4 linked regions of the Mus musculus genome follow. The protein of the gene in region 1 interacts with the protein of each later gene in a pairwise test. Links are inferred from orthologs where the notes say so. Each region holds a gene or a part of one and is shown in the gene's direction. Other genes may lie near its edges.

What was found.
Region 2: the proteins of Trim54 (region 1) and Leng1 interact in binary tests that used the Homo sapiens proteins (3 or more experiments, as listed by UniProt). The two-hybrid records come from large-scale screens. The link is inferred for Mus musculus from reciprocal best matches to the Homo sapiens genes TRIM54 and LENG1.
Region 3: the proteins of Trim54 (region 1) and Cwf19l2 interact in binary tests that used the Homo sapiens proteins (3 or more experiments, as listed by UniProt). The two-hybrid records come from large-scale screens. The link is inferred for Mus musculus from reciprocal best matches to the Homo sapiens genes TRIM54 and CWF19L2.
Region 4: the proteins of Trim54 (region 1) and Ngly1 interact in binary tests that used the Homo sapiens proteins (3 or more experiments, as listed by UniProt). The two-hybrid records come from large-scale screens. The link is inferred for Mus musculus from reciprocal best matches to the Homo sapiens genes TRIM54 and NGLY1.

The regions. Positions count from the first base shown.
Region 1 is NC_000071.6:31,129,665-31,134,240, forward strand, and holds part of Trim54 (tripartite motif-containing protein 54), read left to right. Parts: intron 1-1,377; coding exon 1,378-1,550; intron 1,551-2,323; coding exon 2,324-2,495; intron 2,496-4,385; coding exon 4,386-4,481; intron 4,482-4,576. UniProt on the Homo sapiens protein: May bind and stabilize microtubules during myotubes formation.
Region 2 is NC_000073.6:3,662,673-3,667,895, reverse strand, and holds the start of Leng1 (leukocyte receptor cluster member 1 homolog), read left to right. Parts: upstream 1-2,055; 5' UTR 2,056-2,448; coding exon 2,449-2,580; intron 2,581-4,034; coding exon 4,035-4,214; intron 4,215-4,871; coding exon 4,872-5,125; intron 5,126-5,223. Other genes in the region: Tmc4 (transmembrane channel-like protein 4), read left to right, coding at 272-455, 718-848, 922-1,077, 1,716-1,794, 1,888-1,956.
Region 3 is NC_000075.6:3,402,045-3,407,252, forward strand, and holds the start of Cwf19l2 (CWF19-like protein 2), read left to right. Parts: upstream 1-2,040; 5' UTR 2,041-2,053; coding exon 2,054-2,146; intron 2,147-5,208.
Region 4 is NC_000080.6:16,247,363-16,252,481, forward strand, and holds the start of Ngly1 (peptide-N(4)-(N-acetyl-beta-glucosaminyl)asparagine amidase), read left to right. Parts: upstream 1-1,951; 5' UTR 1,952-2,004; coding exon 2,005-2,135; coding exon of another isoform or gene 2,136-2,137; exon of another isoform or gene 2,138-2,446; intron 2,447-5,119. UniProt on the Homo sapiens protein: Specifically deglycosylates the denatured form of N-linked glycoproteins in the cytoplasm and assists their proteasome-mediated degradation. Cleaves the beta-aspartyl-glucosamine (GlcNAc) of the glycan and the amide side chain of Asn, converting Asn to Asp.

The DNA.
Region 1 (4,576 bases):
AAGGAACAGGGTCATCTCTGGCCATCTTTCAACTCTACTTCTCGCCAAAAATGATTTATTATTATTATTATTATTTTACATTTATTTACCTACGAGTGTATGTGAATGCCACAGAGTGTGTAGAGTCGGTGGGCTCTCCTACAAAGTGGGTCTTGGGGATCAACTCAGAGCATCCGGCTTGGTGGCAAGAGTCTTTATCATTGAGCTGTCTTACCAGTTCCAACAAGTGATTCTTTCCACCTCTCTGTAGACCAGCCTTCAGTGTTAATAGTTTTTGTCTCTCAGTTTCCAGGATGGACACCAGATCAGCTCTTAGTCAAATTCCATGAGCCTTTTTTCTGTAGCCAGCTTGACTTCTGCATCCTAAGCCACAATTCAGGAGAGGATTTTGATTGGTTGCTTCAGGTCACACTATGGTGGTGGCTTCAGAGTGAGCTGGGACTGGTCTCTAAGACACACAGTGTAAAGAGCCTCAGCTAAGCCGCCAGTGCCACCATGTCCAGCCTTTCTTTCTCTCCTTTTCTTTTTTAGACAGGTCTCATTCATCCTGTGCTGCCCTCAAACTCCCTATGTAGCTGAGGATGATGTTAGACCTCCTATGGAGCAGACCCGCCTACCTCTACCTCCCAAGTGCGCCACTCTGCCCCTGGGGATCAAATCTAGGGCAGCCTCTACCACTTGAGCCACATCCCGAGCCTGGCTGCAATTCCTCTGTCCCTGTTCAGCACTTGAGTTGTGTGACTCTTCCCGGGACTAAAGAGAAGCACTCTCATGGCTCAGTATTTGGGAGACAGAGGCAGGTAGTTAGACAGAGTGTTTGAGGCCAGCCTGGACTACATAAGACCCTGTCTCAGGGAGAGAGAGAGGAGAGAGAGAGGAGAGAGAGAGAGAAAGAGAGAGAGAGAGGGAGAGAGAGAGAGAGAGAGAGCCATAAGCCCAATACTTGGGAGGTCAAGGTAGAAGGATCAGGAATTCAAGGTTATCTTCCATTCACGTGGAGTTTGAGACAAGATTATATTATCTTGCCAAACATACATGCACATGTACATATGCACCACCTTACATGTGCTCATAAGGGTCCAAGCTGGAGGACACTGGCTATACTGCCAGTCTCTTGCCTACAGTTAGCATTCCTGTCAAAGCCCCATGCTGGACTCCATTGAAGATAGTGATCAGGCCTGGGCCAAAGTGAGGCTCTGTGTGCGGGGACACTCAAGGAGCTGAGCTGAGGGATGAGGCCAAGGCAGGAAATCGTCTGTCAGAGTGTTGTCTGGGGACACCAAATGCAGAGAAGACCTAATGTTCCCGTGTCAGCTCACCACTTGCCTTCCCTCACACCTCCTTACACTTCTAGTGTCCTGTCACCTGTCTTCTCAGGCCTCTAATCCTCTGTGGCAATCCCGGGGCTCCACAACGGTGTCTTCAGGAGGACGTTTCCGATGCCCATCTTGTAGGCACGAGGTTGTCCTGGACAGGCATGGTGTCTATGGCCTGCAGCGGAACCTGCTAGTGGAGAACATCATTGACATCTACAAGCAGGAGTCCTCCCGGTAAGATAGATGCCTGGCTGCTGGCCTCTCTGGAGGGAAGAGCCTGCACCCTTGGGGATAGAGGGGCAGTTTAGGGTTTCCATTGCTATTGTGGAGCACTGTGTTTGCCTCACACTCCCACATCATAGACATTCCTGAAGTCAGGACAGGAACTCAAAGAGGGCAGGAACCCGGAGGCAGGAGCTGATGCAGAGACCATGGAAGAGTGCTGCTTACCGGCTTGCTCCTCATGGCTTGCTCAGCCTGCTTTCTTATAGAACCGAAGACCACCAGCCCAGGGATGGCCCTACCCACAGTGGGCTCCCCCATCAACATCCCCCATCAATGGCTAAATAAGAAAATGCCTCACAGGCTGTCTATAACCCCATCTTTTGGAGACATTTTTTTGATTGCAGTCCCTTCCTCTCAGATGATTTTAGTCTGTGTAAGCTGACATCCCCCCAGCAGAGGGAGGAGGACAACAAAGGGGAAAGAAGACCTAGGGAGGAGGGGAGGCCTCCAGGGAGGCCCGACTTTGCCTCTGGAAACACTGTTCAATCTTACTCCCTCCTCCTGGTCTGGGACCAAAGTCTACCTCAATGTTCTTGACCTCATCAGCTCCCATGACTTCCTGTCCTGCGTGACATCTTTGTCCCCTGGAATAGATTCTTCCTGGGTCCAGGTCTCCTTTGAGCATCGTTTCTTCCCCAAAGTGAGAACGCTGTGTAAGTTTCCGACCACTGGTCACAGTCTGGCTCCCTGACAGTCGCTGCTGCCTTGCCCTTGATCCTCAGGCCACTGCACGCCAAGGCTGAACAGCACCTCATGTGTGAGGAGCACGAGGACGAGAAGATCAACATCTACTGCCTGAGCTGCGAGGTGCCCACCTGCTCTCTCTGCAAGGTTTTCGGCGCCCACAAGGACTGTGAGGTGGCCCCTCTGCCCACCATTTACAAACGCCAGAAGGTATCTAGTCAGGGAGGGGTCGGGAAAAGGGTTTAGGACTGGGCAGTTCTCACTGTACTTAGGTAAGGGGTGGTCAGGGCAAATCCCCAGCTCTGCTTTCTACTCTGCACACGACCCTGAGGCAGTTACCTGACCTCCCTGACCCTGACTGCCTTCTCTGGTCAGGCAAGGTGAAGACAATGGTTATGGCCACAGCATCAGCTAGTTAATATCTAACGGGAGCCACTTCAGGACGGTATCCACCAAAGGACCAGATACGCTCAAGAGTGTGAAATTACACAGCTAACTTCCAGATATGCTGAGATTTTTAAGATCACACCAGTTGGCCTTTGAGAGGAGAAGGGCATCCTAGGAAGGTGGGGATGGGGGGTGGTGGTGGGAGGTGGGAAGGGCAGGTCCAGAGAGCCCCTGCAGGCAGGAGAGATAACATTCATCACATGACCAATGCTGGCTCAGTACAGGCTAGAGATAGAGGCCATGCCGCAAAACCTGCAAAACATGTGTAGGTAGAGGTGCATTTAAGACTCCCCAAACCTCAGCTTGTGTTGAAGTCCCAAGATATCAAAGAAGTCGTTTATATCACCTGGTTCTTGTCAGAAACAAATGCAGATGTTAAGCTGGAAGAAGATGCCTTCAATGCAGGCCCTTAGATTAAGATCAACACAACAATCACAATGGAAGATACACAGAGAAATGGACCACATGAGTGCAATTAGCAGAAACCCTTCAAACCCTCAGGGAATTGAGATGTTGGAATTATTAAAGAACAGAAACTTGCAATGTACACGATGTTTTTAAGAAGATAGAATAATGTCAGGCATGGTTGAGCACTCTGTAAGTCTTAGCACTCAGGATGCTGGGTGCCCAGCCTAGACTACATAAAGAATTCTAAGCCAGCCTGGGCTGTATAAGGAAAGACCCTGTTTTAAAGAAAAATAAAGTGGGGCTGGAGAGCTCAGTGGTTAAGAGCACTGTCTGCTCTTCAGAAGGTCCTGAGTTCAAATCCCAGCAACCACATGGTGGCTCACAACCATCTGTAATGGGATCTGATGCTCTCTTCTGGTGTGTCTGAAGACAGCTACAGTGTACTCATATACATAAAACAAATAAATCTTAAAAAATAAAAAAATAGAAAAAAAGATGAAATAAAACAACAGCATCATCATCATCATCAACAACAACAAAAGGTAGAATTGGAGATATAGCACACTTGCCTAGCACAAAGCCCCGGATAGATCCCCAGAACTGAAAAAAAACAAAAGTGCAAAATGACCATGTAGCAGCAGTGGCCTGTTGTGGTGGCGAACACTGTAATCTCAGCTACTAGGGAGGCCAAGGAAAGAGGATAACAGATTCAAAGCCAGTGTGGATAACATGAAAAGGCCCGATCGAAGAAAAACCAAAGCAAAGCAAGCTGAACATAGATCTGACAAAGAACTGAGTGGAAACTAATAACTGTGGGAAAACCAGTAGACGGACCAAGTGATGGATTTCTCAGAAGAATCACTGAATGAAAGAAGAGTACAAACAAACAAACAAGTGAAAACAAAAAAAAAAACAAAAAAATAGAACGTGGCAGCACCAGGAAGAGGGAGGTGGAGGATGGGAAGGCCTGCACAGTCCTATTGGACTCCCAGAAGGATAGGAATTGACAGAAGCAGTGTTGTCTGAGTGGAAAGCCCTAAGACTCTTCCAGAATTAATGGAAGACGTGGCTCTCCTAACAAAGCATCCAGGCCAGAGGATGGTGTGTGGTGGGTGTCTAGAGAGTGTCACCTCCCCAGCCCTCTAGATCTTTGCAGATGTCCCCAATGATCGAGGTGAGATGAGAGGGGTGCCATTGTGGGTGGGGCTTCTGACTCTAAAGCTGGCCTGTGTGTGTGTGTGACAGAGTGAGCTGAGCGATGGCATCGCGATGCTGGTGGCGGGCAATGACCGTGTGCAGGCAGTGATCACCCAGATGGAGGAGGTGTGCCAGACCATTGAGGTGAGCTCAGGCTGGGAAGACAAGGGGAGCAAGATGGTCTGTACAGAGACCCCAAGATTCTTTGACTTCTGGTCAAGCTGGCCAAAGAGTTTCTG
Region 2 (5,223 bases), on another chromosome or scaffold:
AGCAACAGTGTATTTATTTATAAATAAATCGTTGGGCATGAGCAAGTGGGGTTGACCAGAGCAAGCAGATGTCCTAAGTTCAATTCCCAACAACCACATGAAGACTCACAACCATCTGTACAGCTACAGTGTACTCATATACATAAAATAAATGAATAAATCTTTTTTAAAATAAATATTTAAAAAATAAACATAAAATCAAGGAATGGGCTGGGTGGTAGAGTTAGGAAAGCCAAAAGGCAGCCTATGACTGTCCCACTCTGCCCTTCAGGATACTCTGTGGCCTCTGTCCTGGGGCACTGGGTCGTCTGTCGGGAACCCTGGAGTTCCAGGTGCCAGATGAGGTGCTGGGGCTCATCTATGCGCAGACCGTGGTCTGGGTGGGAAGCTTCTTCTGCCCTTTACTGCCTTTGATCAACACTGCTAAGTTCCTCATACTGTTCTGCCTGAAGAAGGTGAGTCTGAGGAGTAGCCTAGGGTCTGAGCTGACAGGTGTTGGAGGCTGTAGTCCTGGGCTAGAGAAAGGAGGACGGTTATCAGGGCCCTGATTACTATGCCCTGAGGATGGGAGGAGGGAGCTGGAAGTCAGAGTCCTATTGGCTCAGAGATCTGGTCCCAGCCCCCAAAGGAGGCCAAAGCTCCAAGATAAGAAACAGGGAAAAGCAAAGGATTGACTCTTGAGTCTTACACCTCCATTTCCTCGCCTCTCCCTACCAGATAACCCTCTTCTCCATCTACTCACCGGCTTCCCGCACCTTCCGAGCATCCACGGCAAACTTCTTTTTCCCCCTGGTTCTCCTTGTGGGTCTGGCGATCTCTGCAGTTCCCGTGCTTTACAGTATCTTCCTGTAAGTACGAGAGACTTCTGTTTGTTCTCACTCTAGCTCGACTTGACTGAATCCAGTGTGTCTCCCCCTACAGGATCCCACCTTCGAAACTGTGTGGCCCGTTCCGCGGGAAGCTGTCCATTTGGGCCCAGATCCCTGAGGCCATTGAGAGCCTCCCTCAGACTGCCCAGAATTTTCTCTACTTTCTGGGAACCCAAGCTTTTACTGTACCTCTTCTGATCCTCTCTAGGTGAGCAGTCAGACTTTGAATGTGTGTAATTTAGTGTTTGAAAGAGAAAGGAGTTTCTGGGCACCTGAGTGCTAGAGAGGTGGGCTGGGTGCCTATATACAACAGAGACGTGGGGCTGGCCGGGATGCCTATAAATCAAGAGCAGGAGAGTCGGAGTGTGAATGCTTAGGGTCTAAGAAAAGACATCTGGGTTTGGATTCCTGGTCTGAGGAAAGGAGGGCTAGGGTGTGGATTTATCGATTTGATGAAGGGGGAGGAGGTATGGAGCCTGAACCTCTAGTTTAACCTCTGGTTAAAGGGTCTGAACTTTTGGGTCTAAAGAGAGAGGATAAAGACTTGTGTTCAGAGTCTCAAAAAGGGTTTTAAGGGATTTGAGGATCCTGATATTGGTTTCTTTAATTTACTTATTCATTTAATTTTTATGTGTGTTGGTATTTGGACAGTGTGACTGTCTGTGTGAAGTAACGAACTTGAGTTACAATTGTAAGCTGCCATGTGGGGCTGGGAATTGAACCCCGGTCCTTTGGAAGTGCAGCCAGTGCTCCGGTTACGAGCCATCTCTCCAGCCTGGTTTCTAAGGAGCCATATGATGAAGATGATTGTTTTTCTAGAGTGATTTTCATTCCTGTCTTCCATAGCATCCTGATGATGTATACCGTAGCCCTGGCTAACTGTTACGGACGCCTCATCTCTGAGCTCAAACGCCAGATAGAGACGGTGAGCCAGGCTGATTTCCCCGGAAAGGGCTCTATGAGACTATGAAAGAAGAATGAAAAGGTGTGCTTCACTTTCGCTCCTTTTTGCCCGCAGGAAGTGCAGAATAAAGTCTTCCTGGCCCAGCGAGCTGTGGCTCTGAGCTCAAGGAATGGAACTTCCTGATAAGTCTGGCTGAACCTTCAGCCCCTCAGCTTCAGTGACTTCATATCAAGTGATGGGACTCTTTCATCTCTGGAACCAAATTCCCCGCCCTCTGCCACCCGAATGCTACACTCTCAATTGAACCGTATTAATAAACAACAGTCAAGGCCGCTTTGCGTTTTGAAACCCCGTTCTGAAGCCTCGGACGGGGTTTGGGGAGGGGCCAGGTCCAAATCGGCCTGAAGAGCTAGGTTATGTCTGCTTAAAGGAATAGACAGGCAACAGCCTCATCAAGCAGCGTCCGGGGGTGGAGCAACTCAGGTTACAAATGCTTAGGATTGGCTGAGATGGAAGGCTCTCAGCCAATAATCTCTAAACAAGGCTAGGATGGGACGTGACAATTGGCCCAGAACCAATGCACGAGCAAGGGTGGAACCATGGGGCGGGAGCATCCTCGAGCCAATCGGAAGTGCTGAAGAGTGGGCCTGACAGTCCGAGGTCGGCACTGGAGCCATGAATATCTTGCCGAAGAAGAGCTGGCACGTCCGGAACAAGGACAATGTTGCCCGCGTGCGGCGCGACGAGGCCCAGGCCCGGGAGGAGGAGAAGGAGCGGGAGCGGAGGGTGCTGCTCGCCCAGCAAGAGGTAAGCCTGGGGACCGCCCAGAAGCGCGGCGGGCCTAGCTATCACTCGGTGCCGGGAGCGGGTCTGTGTGTTCGACGATGTTTCTCTGAAAATCCTGTGCTAACTTCCAAGAAACCTTCCTAGATTTCCCCACTGGTGTTGAGGGACCAGAGACTAGCATACTGGAAGAGTTGGACAAATATTCTGATTACTTTATAGGTTGCCCGCACAAGTTAATTACTGATCACCCACTCTGTGTATGCTCCCTTCCTTCTGAGCGCTTGCTTTGAGAAATTCCCTCTTAGAACAACTTGGAGGGGTGCGGTCACCTTGCTCTGAGTACAACGGCTTCAGCAAGGAGGGCAAAGGGCGGACAAGCCGGGGTCCACTTCGTTGGGCATGTCTTTTCTCCCTCCCTCATTGCTTGCCAAGAAAAGAGCATCTGGAGGTTTTATTTGGAACAGGGTCTGTGTAGCCGTGGCTGTTATGGAACTGGCTACGTAGACCAGGCTGGTCTTGAACTCAGCTTGCCTGTTCCACTTGAACGCTAGTATTGAAGACCACACACACATCACAGACTCTAAGTTACTCGATTAGTTTGGTTTACACTTAAGTCCCTTGGCCAATCTGATCATGAATTAGTGTGGGCTTAAAAAAAAAAAAAAAAGCCGGGTAGTGGCGGTGGCGCACGCCTTTGATCCCAGCACCTGGGAGGCAGAGGCAGGTGGATTTCTGAGGCCAGCCTGGTCTACAAAGTGAGTTCCAGGACAGCCAGGGCTACACAGAAAAACCCTGTCTTAAAAAACAAAACAAAACAAAACAAACAAACAAAAAGGTGACGCTTGTAATTAATCCCAGATACTAAGGCTGCAGAAAGGGGAGAATTGTGAATCAGAGACCATCCCTATCTGGGGTCAGGTTGTACTTGGAGTGGTGACCTGGAGCCATACCTTGGATTTAGATCCTTTGTCCAGAAAGCAATATTTGATTACCTTACAAGTTTGGGAGTATATACATACTTGTGTTGGGGACTGAATTTGGAACTACACACAAGGCAGGGGCTCTATGGCTGAACAAGCCACCTATACCTATACCTGAGTGGGTTTTCCTTGCATCACTTGAGACTGGGAAGCCTTCTGTTTTAGGTCAGGGATCTTCTCTGAACTATCTCTGATAGCCCAGTTTACTGTCTAAAAACATCGATTCTCCACTCCAAGTTAGAAATGGTATCTCTTCTTGCTCTCAATATTTGCCCCACCCCCACCCCCTCTTTTCAAGACAGGATTTTTCTGTGTAGTCCTGGAACTAACTCACTCTGTAGACCATGCTGGCCTTGAATTCAGAGATCCATGTGCCTCTGTCTCCTGAATGCTAGGTTCAAAGGTGTGTGCTACCACTGCCCTCCCTGCCCATGGACCATTCTTGTATCCTCAGCACTTCTGGGTTCTGAATGTCTTCCCTATAACCCTTCATAGGCCCGTACGGAATTCCTACGGAAGAAAGCCAGGCAACGAAACTCAGTGCCTGAGCTGGAAGCAGCAGACCCAGGAGCTCCAAGTTCTGGCCCTGTGGACCTGTTTAGGGAGCTGCTGGAAGAAAGGAAAGGAGTTCCCAGAGGCAATAAAGAGCATGAGGAAGAGAAGCGACGGGAAAAGGTAAGTTGGCCTCATTTTTTGGTGGAATCATGGGGGTGGGGACTGGCTGTGACTGTTAGGATATGGTGATAAGCACTCTAAAATTTTTAGAATATGACTGAGAGATATTACCTGTAAGTTGGTTACTGCTGTACAGCACTTAAACTGGCTAACCTTTTCCCATGGGACTAAAAAAAGTCTTAAGCTATTTTATTTTTGAGATGAGGTCACAACTACACAGACCAGGGGTGCTTTCCAATTCTCAATCCCCCTGCCTTGGCCTCCTGAGCCAAGTGTTGGGATCATAGGCACTCATCTCCAGACAGCATTTGTGCTTTTCAAACTGACTTGTACTGTGGCTCTCCTCTCTCTCGTCGAACTTTGAAGGTGCTATCTCCCACTGAAAAATCACTCCTCCACTTTGCTTTTCTGCAGGTTTTTCCTTAAACTGTTCCCAAAGCTTCTCCCATCTTCACTACTGCACAGGCCGCAGCCTCTCTTTCTTCCTCCTCCTGCAGATAAGCCCCTGGTGCTTCCTGAATGGTCTTCTGATCTCCCTTGTTAAATGACTGTCTACCAGTCCCCGTCTCCAGAAATTTGAGCCCTGGGTTTTTCTATTGCCACATCTAGGGCTCCCAGAGGGACTGAAAAGACTATTTTGTTTTCTTGCCTCTGCAGGAGAGACAAGAGAAAGCACTAGGTATCCTGACTTACTTGGGCCAGAGTGCAGCAGAGGCCCAAACTCAGCCTCCTTGGTACCAGCTCCCCCCAGGGCAAAAGGACTGCTGCCCTCCAGGCCCAAGCCCAGATGAGAAGATCAAGAACCGACTGGATCCCTTGAAAGAGATGCAGAAGCACCTGGCAAAGAAAAGGCACAGCAGTGAAAGCCGTCCTTCCAGAGAGGAACGGCCTCAGAAACAACGACCCCGAGAGTAAGAATACAGAGTGAGACTTTGAGGATCATAGCATAGGTCATAGATCATCCAGGGTACCACAAAAAGGCTCAGCGGGGCAAGCAGGATGAAGTGGT
Region 3 (5,208 bases), on another chromosome or scaffold:
AATCTATTAAAAACGTTTTGATTAATTGATTTTTCTTTCATGTAGATGAGTGTTTTGTCTCTATGTAAGTACACCATATGCAAACAGTACCCACAGAGACCAGAAGAGTACATCTCACCCACTGGAACTGAAGTTACACATGACAGGGGCCTGTCATGTAGGTGCCAGAAACCCAAAGTGGGACCTCCACATGAGTAGTACTTTTACTGAGCCATCTCTTCATCCTCAGACAATTTTTAAAAGCACAGTGAAAGGCTAACTGATATGCATGACACATTCCTAGACTCACTAGAAGGCCAGATTTCAGCATGTCTGCACCTAGACTGTCCTCACAGAGGACATTTTAGTGTCTAGCAGGGCTTAGGCCTTACCTGTGGTTTTCTTTACACAGATGGAGCAGAGCAGGCCCTGTAGAATGAATGTGGATACAGTCTGCTCCTCACTATTAGCCAGGGTATGACTGTCTACTCTACCTTAGATATAACAATATCAGTCCGTCCTCTCATCACCATTGTATCTTTGGATGAGAAGATAAGAGAGAAAGAAACAAAATCTGGTTATTAGTTTCTTGATATTTTTATTTCTTTTGACTCTTTTTGGTACAAGGACTCATGAGTATTGCTTCTCAACAACAACAACAACAACAACAACAACAACAACAACAAAAGAAATTTCAAAGCTCTCCCTACGGAGAAGCAAGGTTTTCGAAAATCATCAGTGCGTTTAGCCTTCAATATTTCATGGCAAGTCTTTTTGAGTGCCTTTGGTAATGCGTGGGCAGGTATATTAGCCCTTCCTATCAACTCTGAATTGGCTGGTTATCCTTGCTTCAGATGCACAAACTGGAGTGCTGCCTCACAAACATAATGAATCAAATAAAGGGGTTGTAACCATTCAAGTTTGTCATCTTAAATTTGCTGAGTTGATATGGGCAAAAGGAGATAGAAATGGCTTATTTCAACTTTCCTGTTTCTATCCTAGTGGGCGAATCAAATGAAGCACAGATGGGGCTAGTCTTTTGATACAGAGACTTAATTATGCAAGATGCAATAAATACAACAGAGGTCACTGTTTTTTCTTTATGAGAGATAACCACACAACCAAGGCATCTTTCTTCTGGGTGATGAGGACTCTTCCTGCACCCAGGCTTGTGCAACACCAAGTCTTGACCTCCAAATAATTAAGAATTATTTATTTATTTATTTATTTATTTATTTAATGAGTGTTATGTCATCATGTAGTTGCAATGCCTGTGGAGGCCAGAAGAGGGAGATCTCCTGGAAATGGAGCTAGAGATGGTTTTGATGATCCCTGTGAGTTCCTGGATGTGGCCTTAGGTCCTTTGCAAGAACAGTTAGCACCTAAATCACTGACCCATCTCTCTACCCCAGTTTTAAATATATTTCAAGACACCCATCAAAGAAAAATACTGAACTTTTTTTTTTAATTACTTATTTTACTTATATGAGTACATTGTCACTGTTTTCAGACACACCAGAAGAGGGCGTTCAATCCCATTACAGAGGGTTGTGAGCCACCACGTGGTTCCTGGGAATTGAACTCAGGACATCTGGAAGAGCAGTCAGTGCTCTTAACCACTGAGTCATCTCTCCAGCCCCTATACTGATTCTTAAGAGCAATTTTTGTTTTTCCCTTTTCCCCCCACGTTCTGACTTTCTGATCAGGTTCCCTTCAGGTTGATGCACAGTCACAGGAAGTCAGGCAAGAAGGGGGAAGTAAGTAACTTCTAGCTTACTGGAGTGTTTTAAGAGTCCTATTGAGAAATGAGTTAATATATCGCAGGGCTCATAATAACGCATGTTTATATTAACTCAGCGCTTAGCGAACCTAGTACATCTGAAAGATCAACTCTCCAGCAGGCTACAAGTTTCCGCTGAACCTTTCACAGGCGAAACATTCGGAACTGCGCCTGCTCTGTTGGCATAGTAACGCCCCTTCCCTACTATTTTGAAATGCAGATTCGGTTTCTAAATTACGACAGTCGTAAACCGAGGTTTCCCGACGGCGTCCTTGCTTTTCGACGGCAACAACTATGGAGGCGTTTAGTGTAAGATTTGAAAGTGCTAGCAGTATCGAAGAGCGAAAAGAACAGACCCGTAATGCCAGGGCCGAGGTGTTACGCCAGGTATCCCGGCTTTGGAGAATTTTCTTTCTTCCTTTTTAAAACTGGGGTTGTACTAAGGGCTTCTGCATGCTAGGTAATCGCTTTCCGAGATTTAGTTCTTGAAATACTTTCGTTTTATAAATCTTACGGTTTCGGAATGTTATTTAAAAGTTGTAGGACTTGAGAATCCTGGGAGATAGTCCACTCACTTCTCTCGTTACTTCGGTATCTCACCTTGTCTGATTTTGGTCTTTTTCCAATGCAGTTGTCTTCTAAACGCTCGGACCGGCTCCATTTGCTATTTCTCTCCGCAAAAAGATTGATTGGTTTCCTTCCAGTTTCCTTAGTTTTTAAGCACTCTTGATATTTCAGCCGCCTGGATTGCTCAGTTTCTGTGTCCAGTGTCACATCCGAGGACTCTTCTTACCAGTTAATTCGAAGCATGAGTCATTGCCCCGGCTTATTGGAAGTAGGACACATTTGAATACGTTGGTGTTTCCTCCACGTTTTCCTTTCAACTCCAGGCTTAGGCCAGCCTTTACTGATTGAAACACTGTTTTAGCATAAGAGACTCAGAATATGTGCTCCCCGACCCCAGGTTTTGGAAACAGAATTCTCATTAACATTGAAATGTATGGAGTTTATAAAAACGGAAGAAGTAAATTATTGAACAGTTATTGACAGTTATTCCTGATTAATTGTGACAGTGAAAAAGATGAATTTGTAGTTGAACAACGGAATGTTCCGTGACTATGTTTTGGGTTTTTTGTTTTATGATAAAAGAATTTTAAATAAGTTTAAATGCATATAGAGAGTAGAAAATAAATAGGAAGAATGAGTAATGCCTTCCTTCAGTCACATTTTAAGGGGATGGGTGGGCAGTTAGTCTTGGTCAGATAAAGCATCATGAATATTGGCTGATTTCAAAATAGATATAATGAATAATCATAATGACTGTCTGTTTGATATTTCAAACAGTTTTTGGAAGAAACTCTTTGTCAGCTGTGAAGAATTTTAGACAAATCTACATACAGTTTGATAAGGACCAAAGTCAGCTTAGGAATTTTGACAGATGGATGAGAAAGCAGAAGAAACTTCTTGCATTGTATTACTATTGTTGACTGCTGACTAGAAATTAGCCATATGGTTCTTTCTTTTTAAGAGGATAACTTTTCTGAGTCAATTGTATTGGCACTGTCTATTTTGAAGGCATGGAAAAAGGTCAGATTTATAACTTTTGGGAAAGTCTAAAGAACTAGCCACAGTGACAATGAAGGTTAAAGTGATTCCAAATCCTATTTGAGACAGAGAGAAAAGAGGATATATGTTAGTCTTGTACTGAATACTGTGTGTGATTTGTACCCAAATTTAGTGAAGATTGGTAGTCCCAAAGGAAAGCTATTAATAACTTCCTTTTATTAATCATTTTGTTTATCTTTCAAATGTTATTCCCCTTCCCAGTCTCCTCTTCACAAATCCTTCCACCCTTCCTCCTCCCTTTTGCCTCTAAGAGGGTACTTCCCCTTCCACCACCCACTCCTGTCTCAGTCCTCTAGCATCCACTTTCTCTAGGGTATCAAGCCTCCACAGCACCAAGCACCTCCCCTCCCATTGATGCCAGATGAGGCAATAATCCTCTGCTACATATGTAGGGGGAGCCATGGACTCTTTGGTTGGTAGTTTAGTTCCTGGGAACTCTGGTTAAATTGATACTGTTATTCTTTCTATGGGGTTGCAATCCTCTTCAGCTCCTTTACCCCTAACTCTTCCATTAGGATCCCCAGGCTCAGTTCAATGGTTAGCTGTGAGTATCTGCATCTCTCTTAGTCAGGTGCTGGCAAAGCCCCTCAGAGCTATACCAGGCTCCTGTCTGCAAACACATCTTGGCTTCAGCAATAGTAAGGGGGGTGGGGAGTGTGTTGGTGTCTGTGGATGGAATGGATCCCACAGTGGGGAGGTCTCTGGATGGCCTTTTCTTCAGCCTCTGCTCCATTTTTGTCCTGGCATTTCCTTTAGATAGGGACAATTATGAGTTAAATTTTTTTAGATGGGGTAGGGGTTGGCCCCATCCCTCCCATGGGGGCCATGTCTATCTACTGGAGATGATCTCTTCAGGTTCTATCTTCCTACTGTTGGCTATTTTGGCAAATGTCATCCCCATTGGGTCCTGGGAGTCTCTCGAATTCCTGGTGTTGAGGACTTTCTAGTACTTCCCCAAGTTCCCCACCCCCACTGGTACTTATTTCTATTCCTTCTCCTGGGCCTATGGACTTCTCTCCTATCTCCTGTCTCTTCCAATACCTGGTACTGCCTCCGCTGGCCCCTCCTTTCCTTCCCCGCCCCTTTCCCACCCAGAACCCTCCTTTCCTCTGCCTCCCGTGATTATTTTGTTCCTCCTTCTAAGTGGGTTTGATGCATACACGCTATGCCCTTCCTTCTTGTTAAGCTTAATATGATCTGTGGGTTGTATCATGGGTATTCTGAGTATTTCAGTTAGTATCCACTTACCAATGAGTACATACCATGTATGTTCTTTTGGGTCTGGTTACCTCACTCAGGATTATATTTTCTAGTTCCATCCATTTGCCTACAAAGTTCGTAGTTGTCATTTTAATAGCTGGGCAGTATTCCATTGTGTTAATGTACCTTATTTTCTGTATCTATTCTTCCGTTGAGGGACATCTGGGTTGTTTCCAGCTTCTGGCTATTATAAATAAGGCTGCTGTGAACATAGTGGAACATATGTCCTTGTTATAGTGTTGGAGCATCTTTTGGGTATATGCCCAGGATTGGTGTAGCTGGGTCTTCAGGTAGAGCTATTTCCAATTTTCTGAGGAACCATCAGATTAATTTCTAAAGTGGTACTAGCTTGCAATCTCACCAGCAATGGAGGAGTGTTTGTTCCTCTTTCTCCACATCCTTGCCAGCATCTGCTGTCACCTTCATTTTTTATCTTGGCTATGCTGATTTGTGTCAGGTGGAATCTCAGGGTCATTTTGATTTTCATTTTCCTGATGACTAAGGAAGTTGAACATTCCTTTAGGTACTTCTCAGCCATTTCTTTAGTTGAAAAATCTATTTAG
Region 4 (5,119 bases), on another chromosome or scaffold:
AACCAAGGCAACTTATAAAACCATTTACTTTGGCTTATGGGTACAAAGGTTAGAGTGCGTGATGGCAGAACTGCATGGCAGCAGGCATGGCAGCCAGAGAAGGAAATTGAATACTCACATCCTTTACCACAAGCACAAGCAGAGGGAGTAACCTGGACATAGGGCAGGAGCATGTACTCTCAAAACCTAACTGCCTCCCATAATGCACTTTTCCTAACAAGGCTGCAGCAGCTGGCCTGCCTGTATCCTTTATATACTGGGATTACAAGGATCAGTCAACACTCACAGCAAATAGCTGGGAATACAGCATTTGAAGTTGGGCCACAAACATAATTATTACTTTGTTATGGACCAGAAAAAAAAATGCTAGTAGTTAGCCACTGAAAAATTTAAACAACAGCTAATAACATACTTTGTTGAACATAATATTCTCTTTCTAAGACTTATTCTTTCAAAGTCTCATAGATATACAATGTTCTTTGGCCACAGTCCATCCATTATCTCTCTTCCATCACCTTTGCCCTCCCCTTTAACCCCCCTTTCCCTCATCTGCCTCCTTCTTTCATGTCTTTGGTGGTGGTGGTAGTAGTGATATATGTATGTATGTATGTATGTATGTATGTATGTATGTATGTATGTATGTATATTTGATTCTCCTGCCTCTACCTTCCAAGTTTTGGGATTTGCCAACATGCCTAGCTGAAAACAATATTCTTGAAGTTGGTCTACAAACCTAAGTGCTAAAAATGTAGGTATATTTTACAGATGAATATTCAGAAGTTCTTGAAAATTCTCCGAAGAAATTGCCCAGAAACATTAAAAAACAACAGATAATAAAGTGTCAAACGAGGTCACATAAGTAAATATCTTTAAAACACAAAGCCAACAAGTACCTGCTACGTGCTAGTGATTCATATATGTAATTCCAGCTATTCAAGGTGAGTGGAGCATGGAAAACTCCTGACTACAAATCAAGGTCAAGTGCACTCTTAGTGGCATTTCAACATTAAAAAGTAATAAAAAAAAGCCAGGTAGTGGTAGACAAGCCTTTAATTCCAGTACTCAGGAGGCAGTGATCAGGTGGATCTGAGTTCAAGCTGATCTATAGCTGGAGTTCCACTTTACCCAGAACTATGCAGAGAAACCCTCTTCTGAAGAAGAAAAAGAAGTAATGAGGACTGAGTATGAAGCTCAGTGCTGGAGCCAATTTCCAGGGTTGATGTCAGTGACAAGGGCATCAGCTAAGGAGGTTAGTGATTCCCTTTCTAAGATAAATTAAGGATACTGGTAAGGGATATGCCAGTATGAGTCAAAGGATACAATGTGTATATAAACTTTATTTACTTGTTTGTTCCTCATTTTATTCTATTATTGTATATGGGTTTTATGCGAGTATCCATAGGACACTCCCAAAATGCTCCTTGCATCAGAATCATACCTTGTGAGCAACAACTGAGTTTTCATCAACAGAATTCGGAAAATACACAAATCAGAAACCCAGAAGAGTTCTGAGCTATGCTCTGTTTTTGAAGCCGGACACTAGTAACCAAAGGGCAAGACTGCAGTAAATTCCCGTGTGAGCCCAGCCTAGGCCACAGACCATGATCACTTTCCCTTCCCCATAACCGCCCCCACCCCACCCCACCCCCCAAAAAAAAGACATAACAAAAACTTGCTCGGTCTTCTGGAGTCTTTTCTTCCACAAAAGACTTTTATCTACCGTAAAAAGAAGGCTGTGCAATTATCTCTGGGACCCTACCCGACACAAGCAGCCACCACAGCTCGAGATCTACTCCACTGGCTCGGCCCCTTGTACCCCGTACCCCAACGTTCGCAACCGGCCTCTCCGCGGCTCGCCCCGCCCCTAGCCCCTCCCGGAACGCCCCGCCCCTCGGCTCCTCGCCCCGCCCTCTGGCCGCAGGCCTCTGCGGCGGCCTAGGCGCTCCTCAGCGCCTGCTCAGTGCGGGCCGCGGTGCGCGAGGTGGCGAAGGCCGCGGCGCAGCCATGGCGTCGGCCACACTGGGCAGCTCGTCGAGCTCTGCGTCCCCGGCCGTGGCCGAGCTATGCCAGAACACCCCGGAGACCTTTCTGGAGGCCTCCAAGCTGCTGCTCACCTACGCCGACAACATCCTGAGGTGCAGCCGGGGCCCTCGAGCCTGAGGGCCGCAGGCGGGCGGGGCCGCGGACACTCGGGCCTGAGGCGGGGCGGGCTGGGCGACGAGGGCCCGCCGAGGCTGTCACTGAGTTTGACAGCTGTGCTGTCCCATCTCGCTGCAGGATCCCGGCGCTGTGGCTCAGCCCGAGTGCCAGTTAAACGTTCACGCCGAGTTTGGCGGTTGACACATTTATAGTTTAAGTTACGAACTTTGTGTCAAGTCACCTTTGTACTGAGTGCAGCACTTTCCACAACTGGCTGGGAGTTTGAGTCAGCACCTCCCATGGCCGCTCCGGTCAAAGAGTGTGGGGAAGGGATGCGGAGGGGCAGACAGTGGAGGTCACTTCAGTTGAGCCCCTGGGCGCTGGCTCTTACAAACACACCGACCCGAAGTCTGTAGGAATTCTTAGTTTAAAGGCTGTACAGTTCATGCGGACCAGCTTTAGAGAGTTAGTTGTTAGAGACATTGAGGTGTTGTCCTGTACCCCAAACTGGCATGGAACTTGATCTGTACCCCAGAACTCATGCCAGTCACGACCTACCAAAAGCTGAGATTACAGGTGTGTGCCACCACAACCATAATTCTTCATTTAGGTGACATTAGTGATATTTAAAATATATTTGAAAAGGGAATATAATGTGATTCTATGCCAGATGTTATGCAGCATTTGGGCTTGCACATAATTGTGACTTGTGTGAAGATGGCCTTCCTCCTTTATGACACCTCAGCTTAACCCTGAGATCTCACAGCACCTCAGAGTACAAGGTGTCTGAAAGAACTCATAAGCTTGATTCTCCAGAGCCCACAGCTGGCGTTTCATACTGAATTGTTTAAGTCTTCAACCTCCCACCCCCATACATAAGAGAAGGATGGATTTGTAAAGACATTTCGATTCTGTTAGTACAATGAAACCAAAGATGCTAAGATCAGAGTACTTTGAAAGATAGCTTTGCATGCAGACAGTTATTTCGGATCATGACCATCATTATGAATATTTACTAAATTTCTTAAAGAAACTGGTTCATTTTACAGCCTTTACTGTGGCTTACATTTCTGATCTTGGAGTTTTTGTTTTATAAAGGAAATTAGAGCAGTTTGTAAGAGAAATGATTCAGGTTGATGTGAGAAAATGCTCCTTTAGTTTGTTTTCAACAAGTGTCCTTGTGTTCTTAGAATTCAAGGTCTGGCTTGGTTGGGAGATGATATCCTGCTTCTTCATGTCCAAATCCAGTGACTTCTTAACTCTTAAGGAAAAGCTCCATGTCTTCCTGGTCCCTGACCGCACATTATAATTATACTTCTGTAATTTGGTAGAGAAAATCAGGTTCCTCTTTGCATTGCTATTTTCTTTTAAACCCACTAGTGCCATAGTGGAGGCACTATTGAAGGCATATTGTCCCAGCATCTCATTTGCCTCAGTATCAGAACAATTTATAGAATGGATATGCAAATAAAAATGCATTAGCTTGTTTTGAAGTAGATACTTGTCACTGAAATCTACAATGAAATAATACTCTTAAATTTCTGCTTGAATATTTATCATATCCTAACAGTAATAAATCTAAATAAGCTCCAAAAGAAATGTGTGCTAATTTGTATGCAAAAGCTGCCACCCATTTTAGATAAGATGAGCTTACTATGGACTTTATCAAGAGCAAAACAAAGCAACTCTGTATTAGTTTTCCTGACATCACAGGTGAGCTGCTTAGCTAATTTGATTCATGAACCAGAGTTTGGTTTAGAACTTTTCATGTACCTAAGAATAATGTTGAACTTCTTATCCTCCTACCTACACCTCTAAGTTACAGGTGTGGGCTACCACAATTGCTGTTATGAGCTGCCACAGATTGAGCCAGGGCTCAATGAATGGGAGGCAAGCACTCTACCATCTAAATGGATCCCCTGTCCCTAGTTCATTTATTCTTTAATATAAATATTTGATATTGTACTGTTTTGTTTACAAAGCACACATAGTGTTTGACTATTAACTGTACTGAGTGAAGAACCAAGAATCAAACATAGTTTCTTTGTTCAAATAATATAAATGTATTTGGGAGAAGAAAGGTTTGAAAAACAGCTACAGTGTAACATCAAAGAACAATTCCAAGACAGTGTTAATGTCTCTGTCTTTATATTTTTATGTTAGGAGGTAGTAGGGAGACCAAACATGAGACATTTAGTGAAGGGATAGGCAAAGGTGACTCACAGTTTCTACAGTGGAGTTTCCGGGAGGAAACCATTAGAAGAAACAGGCATTGATTATGAAGTCACTGCATAATCATAACAATAAACCCAATGGAATGGAGAAAGAGAATTTTCAATGACAATGCAAGAAGTAATAGAAGACAAAAAACTTCTAATTTTTAATGTAGGTTGCCACTGACACGTAGAGAAATTGAGTGTAATTGAAAGTTGGTGAGTCTGCTGGCAGCTTGTGTGGTGGTATATGTATAAACATTTTAACCAGAGCAGTAAGTTTCAATTTTAGTCAACTATTTTAAGTGTCATTATAGGCAATTTACATATAATTTCCAAGTTTAAGTTTACCTTATAAAAGGAAGAAAAATACTCTATTCTAGGACTACCCAACATAAATGACCTGGCACATATATCGCAACTACTGAGGTGGTTGCTATTATTATTATTTCTATTAAATTAGGTGAAAAGTTTGGTGGAGTGTTTGACTGTTTGTTCTTTGAAATTTCATGTCTGTAGCCCATTGTTTATTCTTCATCTCTTTCCCTGTCACCATCCCCTCTAGTGTACAAATTCCTCCCACATGCAATTATTTTTGTAATGTTTTGTCTTGTGCCCTACAGTGGGGGTTTTGTGGTTTTTTTGGTGTTTGAGAATTGTTTTTTGTTATTGAAACAGTTCCGTCGTTTGGCATATTGGGATTATAGGTATACACTACTGTACCTTGATAAGTAGTCAGTGTTTGCTCAAAAGAAAAGTGGATGCTA